3 linked regions of the Drosophila melanogaster genome follow. The protein of the gene in region 1 purifies or fractionates together with the protein of each later gene. This does not show direct contact. Each region holds a gene or a part of one and is shown on either strand. Other genes may lie near its edges. The genes, in order: Glo1, GstO3 and CG10638.

Region 1 (3,756 bases):
GTTTGTAATAAGAATGCTGCAAATCAAGAAAATATTTTTAAGTTTTCCAGAAAAAAGTGACCACTCGGATTTTTGCCATTAATTACGCATTTTAATTTAAGCCCTTACTTCTTTTTAATATATTCAGATACCAAAAGCGCAAAGAAACATATTTTAAAAGATATTTTCAAGTGTTATTTTGTTTTCCCTTACTTCGCTCATCTTTGTAGTCAAGCTTACTTTTATCGTTGGCGATTTAGTTAATTTAATGAAAAGTAAAAGCTATCTGAGTTTACGTTTTTTATTAATTTGTTAGCTATATTTATCCCTCTCTTTGTTAGTCACATAATTGTGCGGTATGAAGACATTTGTGTTTTTAGCTCATGTTTTATTTGAATTTATTTGTAGTTTTTTAATTAATTTTAAATTTATACTATTACGATTTTGTTATGAGCTTGCAATAGTTAAACGCAACGAAAGAAAATAAATGTGAAACGAAATAACCGGCCTGGTGAAAGCCATTTTTGTTTATATTTGTATTCACCCCAGAATGTCCAAAGAATTTGTTACACTGGCGAGCAGTAATACTCTACTCACACAAAACACAACTCCTTCCAAAAGTGAGCGTGCACGAAGTCCAGATACACTTACTGAGATAAACACTATTTGATTTGCCAAGCCAACAATGAATTGTATTTATGAAGTACCATCCACGAGAGAAACGACCAATATCTGAGAAAAAGCGAAATGATGATAATACCAATTAATTTTTGTACATGCAAATGCGCCTAGGATTAGAGGGTTTTTTTGGTCTAGAAGGAGTATTTGACACATTCACCGCCAGCACCAACAACAAATTATTAACAAATCAACAGCAACTAAACGACAACAAAATGATTGAGATAATCATGAACACAATATACATATTTAAAGAATCTAGATCTAATTATATAACTAATTATATGTCCGGAAATGCCTAAGATCACAATGAAATCCAGCAAGTAAAATAGTCTAATTGGTAAGCAAATATAAAATATATATTATATACAAAACACGCATGTACACGACTTTATACACAAAGCATATAAGAATATTACTTTCAGTTAAATTAGTTATAATACCGACAACAATCAATTACAAATATTAAATGCTGCGTTTAATTTGGTGGGAATAAAAATAGTAATTATCAGGAAATACTCGGTTTACTAGTACAATCTCACATTTTTTAATAAAGTTTTATATACAACTCGGTAATTTAGTAAATCGTAATAAATCGTGAAAAATGCGGCATGTCAGTTTTAAGCGGTTTAAGGGCATTAGAGTGGGCGTGGCAAAATTTTTTTTGCACATCGATAGAAAATTACAAGACGAATAAAAATCTAAACAATATATCAACAGGTTTTTCAAAAGTGTGGGCGTGGCACTTTTGTGCGGTTTGTGGGCGTGGCAACATGGGTCAACAAACTTGCTCAGCGTCTTTGTCTTTAGAATCTGTATGCTCATTCTTAACTATGCTGAATCTAGCTTTCATAGTTCCGGAGATCTCGACGTTCATACGACTCGTCTATTGATCCTGATCAGGAATATATATAATCTATATAGTCGAAAAAGCTTCCTTCTGCCTGTTACATACTTTTCAACGAATATAGTATACCATTTTACTCTACGGCTATCGGGTATAATAATTGAAAATAATAGTAAGCAAACAACAGTTTCGTTGTTTGAAAGTTAAAATCCATTTTTTTTTTTTTGGATTTTACATGGAGAATATATTATGAGTTGCTTTATTTATTCAATAAGAATAATGTGCAATGGGCACATTATGCTTTATATACTTTGCACTTTAAAGTGAATAATGAGAATTATGCACAGAAATGGATTTCTGGTTTTACACAATATTTCAGAGTAGAGGTGGTTTGATTTCATATAAATGCGAGGGTATAAATTAGTTGGTTCGCAGCCCCACCTTACTTTTTTGGCGATAAAATTGTGTGCACATTTTCGCCGCCCGATGGTACGTTTCACCGGCTGAGCGAGGGTCACACTGGCAATTCCCTCGCGGATTTTATCAACAGGTGGTTGGTTAATTGCCTTAAAGCATCGGAATGGGCGACGTGACAGGACTGAGCAATGCCCAGGCGGACGAGCTGTGCCAGAAGCCGGATTCGTCCACCAAGGTGAGTGGGTTCCAGTCGGGCAGACCGCGCCATCGCGCAACGCAACTAACCCGCTGTCGGCGGCGCAGGACTTCCTCTTCCAGCAAACCATGTACCGCATCAAGGATCCACGCAAGTCGCTGCCTTTCTACACGGGCGTCCTCGGGATGACCTTGCTGGTGAAACTGGACTTCCCCGAGGCCAAGTTCTCGCTGTACTTTCTGGGGTAAGGTCGATTGCTCCGGCTTATCTTAATTTGATATTGATACAATGACAATCGCTTTTGTATCTGGCCCAGGTACGAGAACGCCACCGATGTGCCTAAGGATCCCAAGCAGCGACGCAGCTGGGCGCTGAGCCGCAAGGCCACCATTGAGTTGACCCAGTAAGTGGTTTTCCGTTTGTGCATGCGATTCGCAAGGTTCCATTTGAGTAGGCCCTTCTAATGTCATGACTCTAGGAAAAGGTTATTTGAATAGTCCATAGTGGCGGTACAATACCAATCTTAATATGGATGTAGATATCATCTACAAGGAACACTTCCAACAGAAACTCCTCCGCAATCAGATGGAATTTCATTCAAAGGCATTTTAGAATTGTCATGCGTGTAAAAAAGATAGTTCCATATGGATATTCTATTTTTACATTTCGTAACTCGTTTTTGTAGATATGATAGCTTCAACTACAGCATGCGGCAGCATAATTTCCTTTTTTTTTCAGAACTCAATGAAAATCTATTGTAGGCATCGGAAAATATTTATTTGTTTTTATAATTTAGGTACATGTCTAAAGATTTTATTTATATTTTTTTGAAGATGAAATATGACAGGTGACGTTTCCCATTCTCCATACATTGCGTAAACCGATTTCTGGCGTTTGGGGAAAAGGGGACAGATCGGGAGAGCGTGCCGTCCATTCCAAATCACCTTTAATTGGGATGAGGCGCTCTGAAAGTGTTCCCTCAAAACAGCCATCGATGCTGTATGCGATGGTGTATGCCGTTGCACCTTCTTGTTGAAACCAAGTGTTTACTGTGACCTTTGGTGAAAGCAAAGGCCTTTCATGCAAATATAGAGGGTTGCTGTCAGCCCAGTAGCGCATATTTTTTTTGTTTGTAAACCGACCGACATAAATGAAAATGGGCTTCTGAAAGTTCCTGCACTACGCCATCTTATATGGATGAAATTGAAGATCATCATGCAAAATTCTGCTCACAGAACGATCGGATAGTCAGTCCAAGGGCAGATGCGTGTTTGCGCGCAGAACGCCGCGGAGATCACAATATTGACCCTGTCACTGCTTCAATGTTCTCAGGTGATCTAACTGGGTCGGGGGACTCCAGTTCTTCGTTTTGTCGCACTTGCAGTTTGCCTGAATGTAGTGACCCATGTAAAAATCGATTTGCGGTCTGGGACGGGAGCCAACGGGGCTAAATTAAAGCGATTCCGAAATGCACGCTGCGTTTAAAGACCCGAACATCCGCTTGAAAAGTAGGCCTCATCGGCAAAGGCACGCTCCTCACTATTTCAACGCATGTTGGCGACTGAACCGTGTAGGGACAAAACTTTGCAGTAGCCCCTCTTGAACGTGGCCAGTAGCGTTTCGCTATGATATGAACTAA
Region 2 (3,730 bases), on another chromosome or scaffold:
GATTAATGTAGATGCTGTGATACGGGATCTGCTTGGCGTCCAGGACCAGATGCACCCGTTGGGCAAATGGGCAGAAGCGCATCGAGTACAGGCGAAGGATACCATCTTCGGGAACATCCGGCATGGGTGAGCCTAGTGGGCGCATTTATTATCAATTATGATTATCCTGGTTTCCTGGCTCTACCCACCTTTTGCCAAATGCCTGCCGTTACTCATGATGTGCGTGCTCGGGTCCAGAGATGCAAGTGGTGATAGCGATTGTCATTCGAGTGATTTATAAAGTGCAGCTCACTGCCCTTCGCCGGTTGGCTTCGCTTACGCGGCTGAACTTGGTGGCTTGCGGCTGACACACATACCAAGCCATGTGGATACAGTGAAGCCCCCTTGCAACCTGCATATTGCTCCAAAATATTTGTTTAAAACAAAACTTTTTAAGAACTAAGTTTTTCGAACCACGTTCTGTGAATCTGGAACGGAATTCTTGCCTTTCTAGCCTTAATTCATTTCTTTGTCACATAAAATATTTTAGTTTTTATTGTTTTTAGAACATTATTAAATCTCCTTTGTTATATAATAGTTTCATTTTCAGTACCGATCTAAGCCAGCAGATCGTAGTTTGCATTGCCGGCCTTGCGGGTGCGCCAGAACTCGTTGTGCTGCTCGGGAGTGGCATAGAAGGACTGCACCACCGAGTCCGCCTTCAGGAGGGCAATCCACTTGGTGATCTTCGGGAAACGACTCTCGTTGAAGTTGTACTCCTTCTGCAACTTCAACTCGATTACAGAGAGGCGTTCGAACCAGGGCCAGATCATGTAGTCCACGAATCCCGGCTTGTTGCCGCCAAAATATGGGGTGCCCCGCTTGGTCAACTCCTCCTCAAAGATATCAAGTGCCGTCCAGTAATCCTCCAGACCGGTGCCCTGCACAAGGATGTTTATGAAGGCACTGGTGATGCTGCTGAAACGTTCCAGCAGAATCTTGTCCTGTGCCCGCTTCAATGGGTCCTTGGGCAGCAACGGATTCTCCGGGTACTTATCGTCCAGATACTCGGCAATAATCAGCGACTCGATGAGCGAGGGCTCACCCTTCTCCGCCACCAGCTGCAGGGCAGGCACCTTAAGCAACGGACTCACTTCCACCAGCCACTCTGGTTTCTCGGTGAGATTGATGTAGACACTGTGATAGGGCACATTCTTGGCGTTCAGGACGAGATGAGCCCGCTGAGCGTAGGGACAGAACCTCATGGAGTACAGGCGAAGGACTCCATCGTCAGGGAGTACAGGCTTGGGGGAACCTAAAGATAGAATTTATTTACCAGTTAAATTTAGGTTATACAAATAAATCAATAACTTCATGAGTCACTTGTGGAACCCTAAAATCCACCCCTGTATTATTATTTGTTTAGCAAGTCATTGCACTTAAGTTAATGTTGATAGGGCCCAGTCGTGATAAAGCTCAAATTTTGTAGCTACGTTATCTTTTAGAGTGTAAATATTATGGGTTATCTGATATCGGGGTGAAAGCTATAGCTAAAAATGTAAGTAAATTTTACAAATCAAATAATTAATTTAATGCATTACCTACAATTGTAAAAGAATAAAGATCGTATTGAAATTTACCAAATAATATACCTTTCTAACTTTTTAACCAAAAAATCCCAGTTATTCATGCCAATATTCTTTAACATTATGAAATATAAAAATCGTTATTCGATAATTACGCTGAATGTTGGAGAACTTGTTTTATAAATAATACTATAAACACTCTAATGACATGGGCGTTTCTCTTGGCGGCGGCGACAACTGGTTTTGCTTGCTCTCTTACCTTTGGCCAAATGTTTACCAGAACTCATTTTGTTTAATTGCAGAACTGAACAAATTCGCTTAACTGTTGAAATGTCGACGGTGAAATGCGAACTGAGTTTTCTCTTCGACGGCGCTCTGTTTATATAAAGTTTTTTGTTTGTGTTTTAACGCGAATAAGAATAATCGAGCTTTTTGCGACGTGACTCTTAGTTTTCGTTAGCTTTTAAAAACGATTTCTCATCGCAGACGTTTATTTCGATTTAAAACGCTTTACTACATTTGCGATTTGTTTTGTGGGAAGAGACAATCATTTCCTCCGCATTATACATAGTACATCTACTTAGTTTGTTAATAATCACGCCTGTTTGTAAATATAGATATATTTTGTTTTTACATGGTTTGGGGGGAGCTTTATTTTTGTTTTTAATTGAACCTCGGAACTACTACGTACATTTAGAGTTTTAAGTTTATGAACTTTTCGTAAAAAGTTTCGATCGGCGGACTTTCGAAATCAAACTTAATCTATGTACAAAAAAGTTCTCGAAATTTCCGTTCATGCCTTACAAAAAATACAAAAAAGTATTAATACATATACAACAGAGTTGCTGACATCATTGAGTCGCGATAAATAGTTGTTATCAGTAATTGCATTCGAAAAACCAAATTGGAAAGTAATAAATAATGACAACTACACTTGCTGCTGGAATTAATTGTTTATCAAAATGTAAAAAGATCCTTTCGCTGCTTTTGGTCCTACAAATGGGATTTCTTTTGATGCATCCTTTTGAAAACTCAAGTGGATGATTAATTTTTAGTTTTTAATTCATTTTAAAAATGTCCGCAAATGGTAAACATTAAAATTTAATGATTAAACTGTATCGTTTTTTTTCCCGAATCAATTGCGCGTTGTTGTTACGGTAAATACATGGGATAAATAGCTAAAACTAAGTAAATACGTACACTTAAAAAAATTCTACACACTGGAGTTAAATGTTGCTTTGCTTTCGTTTCTGAATTTCTTGCTTTGTCTTGTTTTGCATCGTTGCCTGACGATTTCCATTCTAAGTTTCGTTTATAGTTTCGTTAATTTTTTTTTGTTCGCAATTTGTATTTTGTTTGTTGCTCTATAAAATATGCAAACTGGTTGCATTTTGATCACGGTTCTTGCTGTTGCATATAAACATCCATCTCACTTTTGATTATTGGAACGACTTGAGATTTTTGAAAATGAATGAAGAATATGGCTGTTTTCAAATTTATCCATGGGCATCCGGTTTCGAATCCTTCAGCTTCATTCGCCAATGGTCCAATGGTTCTTTGAAGTTGATCCCTATGGCTGGCCTTAGCCATTCGGTGAGGTGGATGCTCCAGGAGATGTGGTTGTGGCCACTGCATCGCTGTTGCTCATCTTGTGCAGCATGAGGGAGTGCGTCGATCTGGTGGCGGTGGAGCTGGGATACTTTGGCTGCATTTGGCTGTTGGACACTGTGGAAGAGCTGCTGGTCGCCGGCGGTGGCGGTGGCTGCTGGCTGCAAGTGAACAGAGTTCATCAGTGTGCTTTTGCTAGCCCTTAGGACACACACCCCTTCTGCTCGCCATCCTTCTTGCTGTTGAACATGGCCAACTCGATCTCCGTGTGCTGGCTGTTCATGTGGCGCACCCACTCCGCCGGCGTATCAAAGGATCTGCACATGGGAAAGGGAGTTAGTATATATTTTGCTTCTATAACTCCAAACACTTACGTGGAACACAAATCGCAGAGCAGAGTTACGTGATCGTGATCCATATTGTTCTCCTGTTGCTGAAAAACACAATATATAATCTGGTTTTAATACATCCAATAGATATTGGTAACCGATCATCACTACGAGTTAAAATCATACTTCAGTAGATTTGGATTTATTAAAGGGATGAGTTGCTGTCCA
Region 3 (3,756 bases), on another chromosome or scaffold:
ACAAGGTGGCTGTGATGCAGCGGGCCGAGTCCTCTACTCGCGTGGTGGCCGAGGTGCCGGCCAGTGGTTCATCCAGTGGATCTGCAAAGCACACACAGCATTTCACCAGCGGCAAGTGGTCGCATCATCATCAGGGCCACCAGTTTCTCACCCTCCAGGATGGCAATCTAAGTGCCTACGATGTGCGGGATACACAGCATTGTGCCTGGAGCATCAACGATGCGCATGGTCAAATGGTCCGTGACCTGGACTGCAATCCCAACAAGCAGTGCCATTTGGTCACCGGCGGTGACGATGGCTACTTGAGGATCTGGGACTGTCGCATGCCCAAGGCTCCCGTTTTCGAGCGCTCCGATCATTCGCATTGGGTCTGGTGCGTTCGCTTCAACACATTCCACGACCAACTGATCCTCTCCAGCTCCAGTGACTGCAAGGTGCTGCTCACGTGTGCGGGATCGGTTAGTTCGGAGACGCAGGTTCAGGCTGGACTAGATGAGTCCAACTTCAGTGGTGCCGATGCCGAGGAGAGGCACAAACTCTTGCCAGATGGTCTGCTGCAGACCTTCGATCAGCACGAGGACTCCGTTTACTGCGCGGAGTGGAGCAATGTGGATCCGTGGATCTTTGCTTCGCTCAGCTACGATGGTCGCGTCATAATCTCAAAGGTGCCCAAGCAGTACAAGTACCAGATTATATTTTAAGCCATTAGTTTCTTAAATTATTACGCATATTTCATTTAAATCTAACTAAACGAATTGTGTCCTTGTATGTAGTAGCAGGTTATACAAATATTAAACCAATAAGTTATTATATGAAGATAAATATATCGAGGGACTAAAGCTAATTAGGCTTAACCTGTATCCTCGGATGTGCAGTCGGAGGAATCATTGGGATTGGCAGTTTCCACGGAACAAACTCGCTTGATCAGCTCGTTTTCGATCTCCACAGTGCCATTGTCCACTGCCTCCTCCATCTGCACGTACTCTATGGTGGCGGCACTTTTCTTGGTGGATAGGACAGGTTTTGCGGCAGCAGGAGCAGGTGTTTCTGCAGTCTTTTTAGCCTGGGCTTCCGTATCATCCTCGGCTTCCTCAGCCAAACTGCTACGCTGCGGCTGAACTTCGGCGTAAATGGCGGGAAACTGCGACTGTAGCTTCTGCTTGATGATCCGTATCTTGCGGAATATGTAATCCAGATCCTTCTTCATTTCGCTCAGGCATTTCACGTGTCTTTTGAAATCCTCGCTGGCACTTTTCAAACGACTCTGCGATAAGGCATTGCAGTTGAGCAGCATCTCGTTGGTTTTCTCAAAGCGTTGCAGCCTGTGGGATATATTTTGGATGTTTATTATAATCTCTGGTTAAATGAAATGGCTTACATTTGCTTTTGAGCCCGTATCATGGTCTCCACATCGCCCTGATTCACCATTCCTGCGAGACTTTGAATGAAGGCCTCGGCGGCGGAGTTGCCGAAGCCAGTGAAGGATTCCAGGTCAGGAGTGGCATCCTCGGACTGGTGCACATCCGCAAGGCCCAAGTGGCTCATTGTAGCCTAGAATTTATTTGTTTATAATAAGGGAGAACACAAAAATTGATTTGTTTACTTGCTTTTCAAGGTCTCAAGGTTTCTTTGCGACAACTTGAACTCTGCTTTGTGTGCGTTTGCTGGCAGTTTTAGTTTTTTCTATTTTTATTTACGTTTTCAAATGGATCTCATGTTTCCATCTATTTTAAAAGTTCTTTTGTTTAGATTTCTTAAAAAAAAAGATATTTTCGTAACAGCTGTTTAAGTACTAGTTATAAACCAGTGCTGCAAGCTGCCAAAATGCAAAAGCACTGCCGTAATTAAATTTGAACATTTTACTTTTTAACATAAAATTAACACTGTTTTATGACAACATTTGTTCCTATTTAATATAAATCAAAGTTTCTTTAGCTATTTAAACACTTAAAAATATTTAAATAATAAAGCTTAGCAGAATGGCATTGGGTATTTTTACGCAAAGCCGTTTTGGTCACACTATGCTCACCGGCTTTTTTTTTATTAAGCGATTGAATTTCCTTATTTATTCTTGATTTAAACGTGCAAAATGAAGCTCGCTCCGACTGTTAAGCTAAACAATGGCTACGAGATGCCAATTCTGGGCCTAGGAACCTACAATGTAAGTCCTTATCATCGGCGATGCTAATAAATCAGCAGGCAGAAATTGTTTATGGAAATTTCTACCATTCAATTCCAATTAAGTGCAATTGTGAAATTGAAAGTTAATTATGTTATCTGTAGTTAAAGAAGTCTCGCTGTGAGGCTGCCGTGTGCCACGCCCTCGAAATGGGCTATCGGCATATAGACACCGCATATCTGTACAGGAATGAAGGCATTATAGGCAAGGTTTTAGCTAAACTTATTGGCGACCAGAAACTGAAACGCGAACAGGTGTTTCTGGTCACAAAGGTAGGATATAGTACAGATGGGTTATATATAGTTACCAGCACATGTAAATAGATCGAAAATCAATATCCAATTAGCTGTGGGACATATACCACGAACCCAAGATGGTGAAATACGCCTGTGATATGCAATTAAAGCTACTGGGCGTGGACTATATAGATCTATATCTGATGCATTCGCCGGTGGGCGTGGACTACATCTCTGATGAAGATCTGATGCCCCACGAGAATGGCCAGCTGAGGACCAAGTGAGTTTGGGATACAACTAAACATACATAGTTTAGATTCAAGAAGCTTAAAGAAACTGATCTTTGGAACTTATAGCGATGTGGACTATGTGGACACCTACAGAAGTATGGAGCAACTGGTGCATCTGGGGCTGGTGCGCAGCTTGGGATTGTCCAACTTTAATGCCAATCAGCTGAAGAGATTACTGGAAAACTGCCAAATCAAGCCGGCAAACCTACAAATAGAATGTCATCCGGAATTGGTGCAAGTCCCATTAATTGAGCTCTGTAAATTTCACAATATCACCGTGGTTGCCTATTCGCCACTGGGGCGTCCCAAAGCCTGCAATCCGCTGCCCGATTACTACACTGATTCCAAGCTACTGGCGTTGGCAGCGAAATACGGCAAGACACCAGCTCAAATCATCCTAAGATACTTGGTATAAACGACCTTAGAATTGTAAAGTGATAAAGATATTTATTGGCTAAAAATCTACAGATCGATATTGGCACGGTACCTATTCCAAAAGCTGCCCAGCGAGCCCATCTCGTAGAGAATCTGGATATATTTGATTTCCACCTAACGCCGGAGGAGTTGCTCCAAATGAAGACCTTTAATACAGGGCGCAGAATCTGGAAATTCGATAAAGCGAAGAATCATCAGTACTATCCGTACTAGCAAGAGATATTTAGTGTTCGGAAAAAAAGTGTAACTATGTAAATGTATAAGATAGAATCTCGTTAGATAGTTTAGTTTTTACGTTAGTTTTTTTTTAGTACAATATTACAATGTTATAAAATGTCATCATATCAATCGTTATCATATATAAATATACTATATTTTGTGCTAGATATGATCCTATTAACATTTTAAGTGCTCACCTGGGGAAATAATTATTTGTATCTCTCTAAATGTCTCTATCAAAGTTTATCGAATCTTTCGTGTGCCTTGCGACGTTGATCAGTTGTATAATTTCGGATATTGTTTCGATTTGTCAATTCGCGGCTCTCCGATATGCTCACAATTTCCTGGCCGAAACGAACGTGTTGCTGTGGTCGAAAATAACAATATACTGATCTCA

The links.
Region 2: the proteins of Glo1 (region 1) and GstO3 purify together in Drosophila melanogaster (affinity purification with mass spectrometry, with the first as the bait; one large-scale study listed by BioGRID). This does not show direct contact.
Region 3: the proteins of Glo1 (region 1) and CG10638 purify together in Drosophila melanogaster (affinity purification with mass spectrometry, with the first as the bait; one large-scale study listed by BioGRID). This does not show direct contact.

What each region holds. Positions count from the first base shown.
Region 1 is NT_033778.4:7,394,195-7,397,950, reverse strand, and holds the start of Glo1 (glyoxalase 1), read left to right. Parts: upstream 1-2,018; 5' UTR 2,019-2,084; coding exon 2,085-2,156; exon of another isoform or gene 2,157-2,224; coding exon 2,225-2,361; exon of another isoform or gene 2,362-2,433; coding exon 2,434-2,520; exon of another isoform or gene 2,521-2,955; intron 2,956-3,756.
Region 2 is NT_037436.4:8,517,076-8,520,805, reverse strand, and holds GstO3 (glutathione S transferase O3), read right to left. Parts: upstream 1,922-3,730; 5' UTR 1,853-1,921; coding exon 1,825-1,852; intron 1,295-1,824; coding exon 597-1,294; 3' UTR 511-596; downstream 1-510. Other genes in the region: se (sepia), read right to left, coding at 1-132, 189-216; CG6765 (uncharacterized protein), read right to left, coding at 3,148-3,334, 3,389-3,490, 3,548-3,606.
Region 3 is NT_037436.4:12,499,570-12,503,325, reverse strand, and holds the start of CG10638 (uncharacterized protein), read left to right. Parts: upstream 1-2,014; 5' UTR 2,015-2,089; coding exon 2,090-2,161; intron 2,162-2,283; coding exon of another isoform or gene 2,284-2,451; intron 2,452-2,525; coding exon of another isoform or gene 2,526-2,695; intron 2,696-2,771; coding exon of another isoform or gene 2,772-3,114; exon of another isoform or gene 3,115-3,125; intron 3,126-3,173; coding exon of another isoform or gene 3,174-3,353; exon of another isoform or gene 3,354-3,525; intron 3,526-3,556; exon of another isoform or gene 3,557-3,724; intron 3,725-3,756. Other genes in the region: CG10646 (uncharacterized protein), read left to right, coding at 1-701; CG10681 (uncharacterized protein), read right to left, coding at 851-1,322, 1,379-1,545.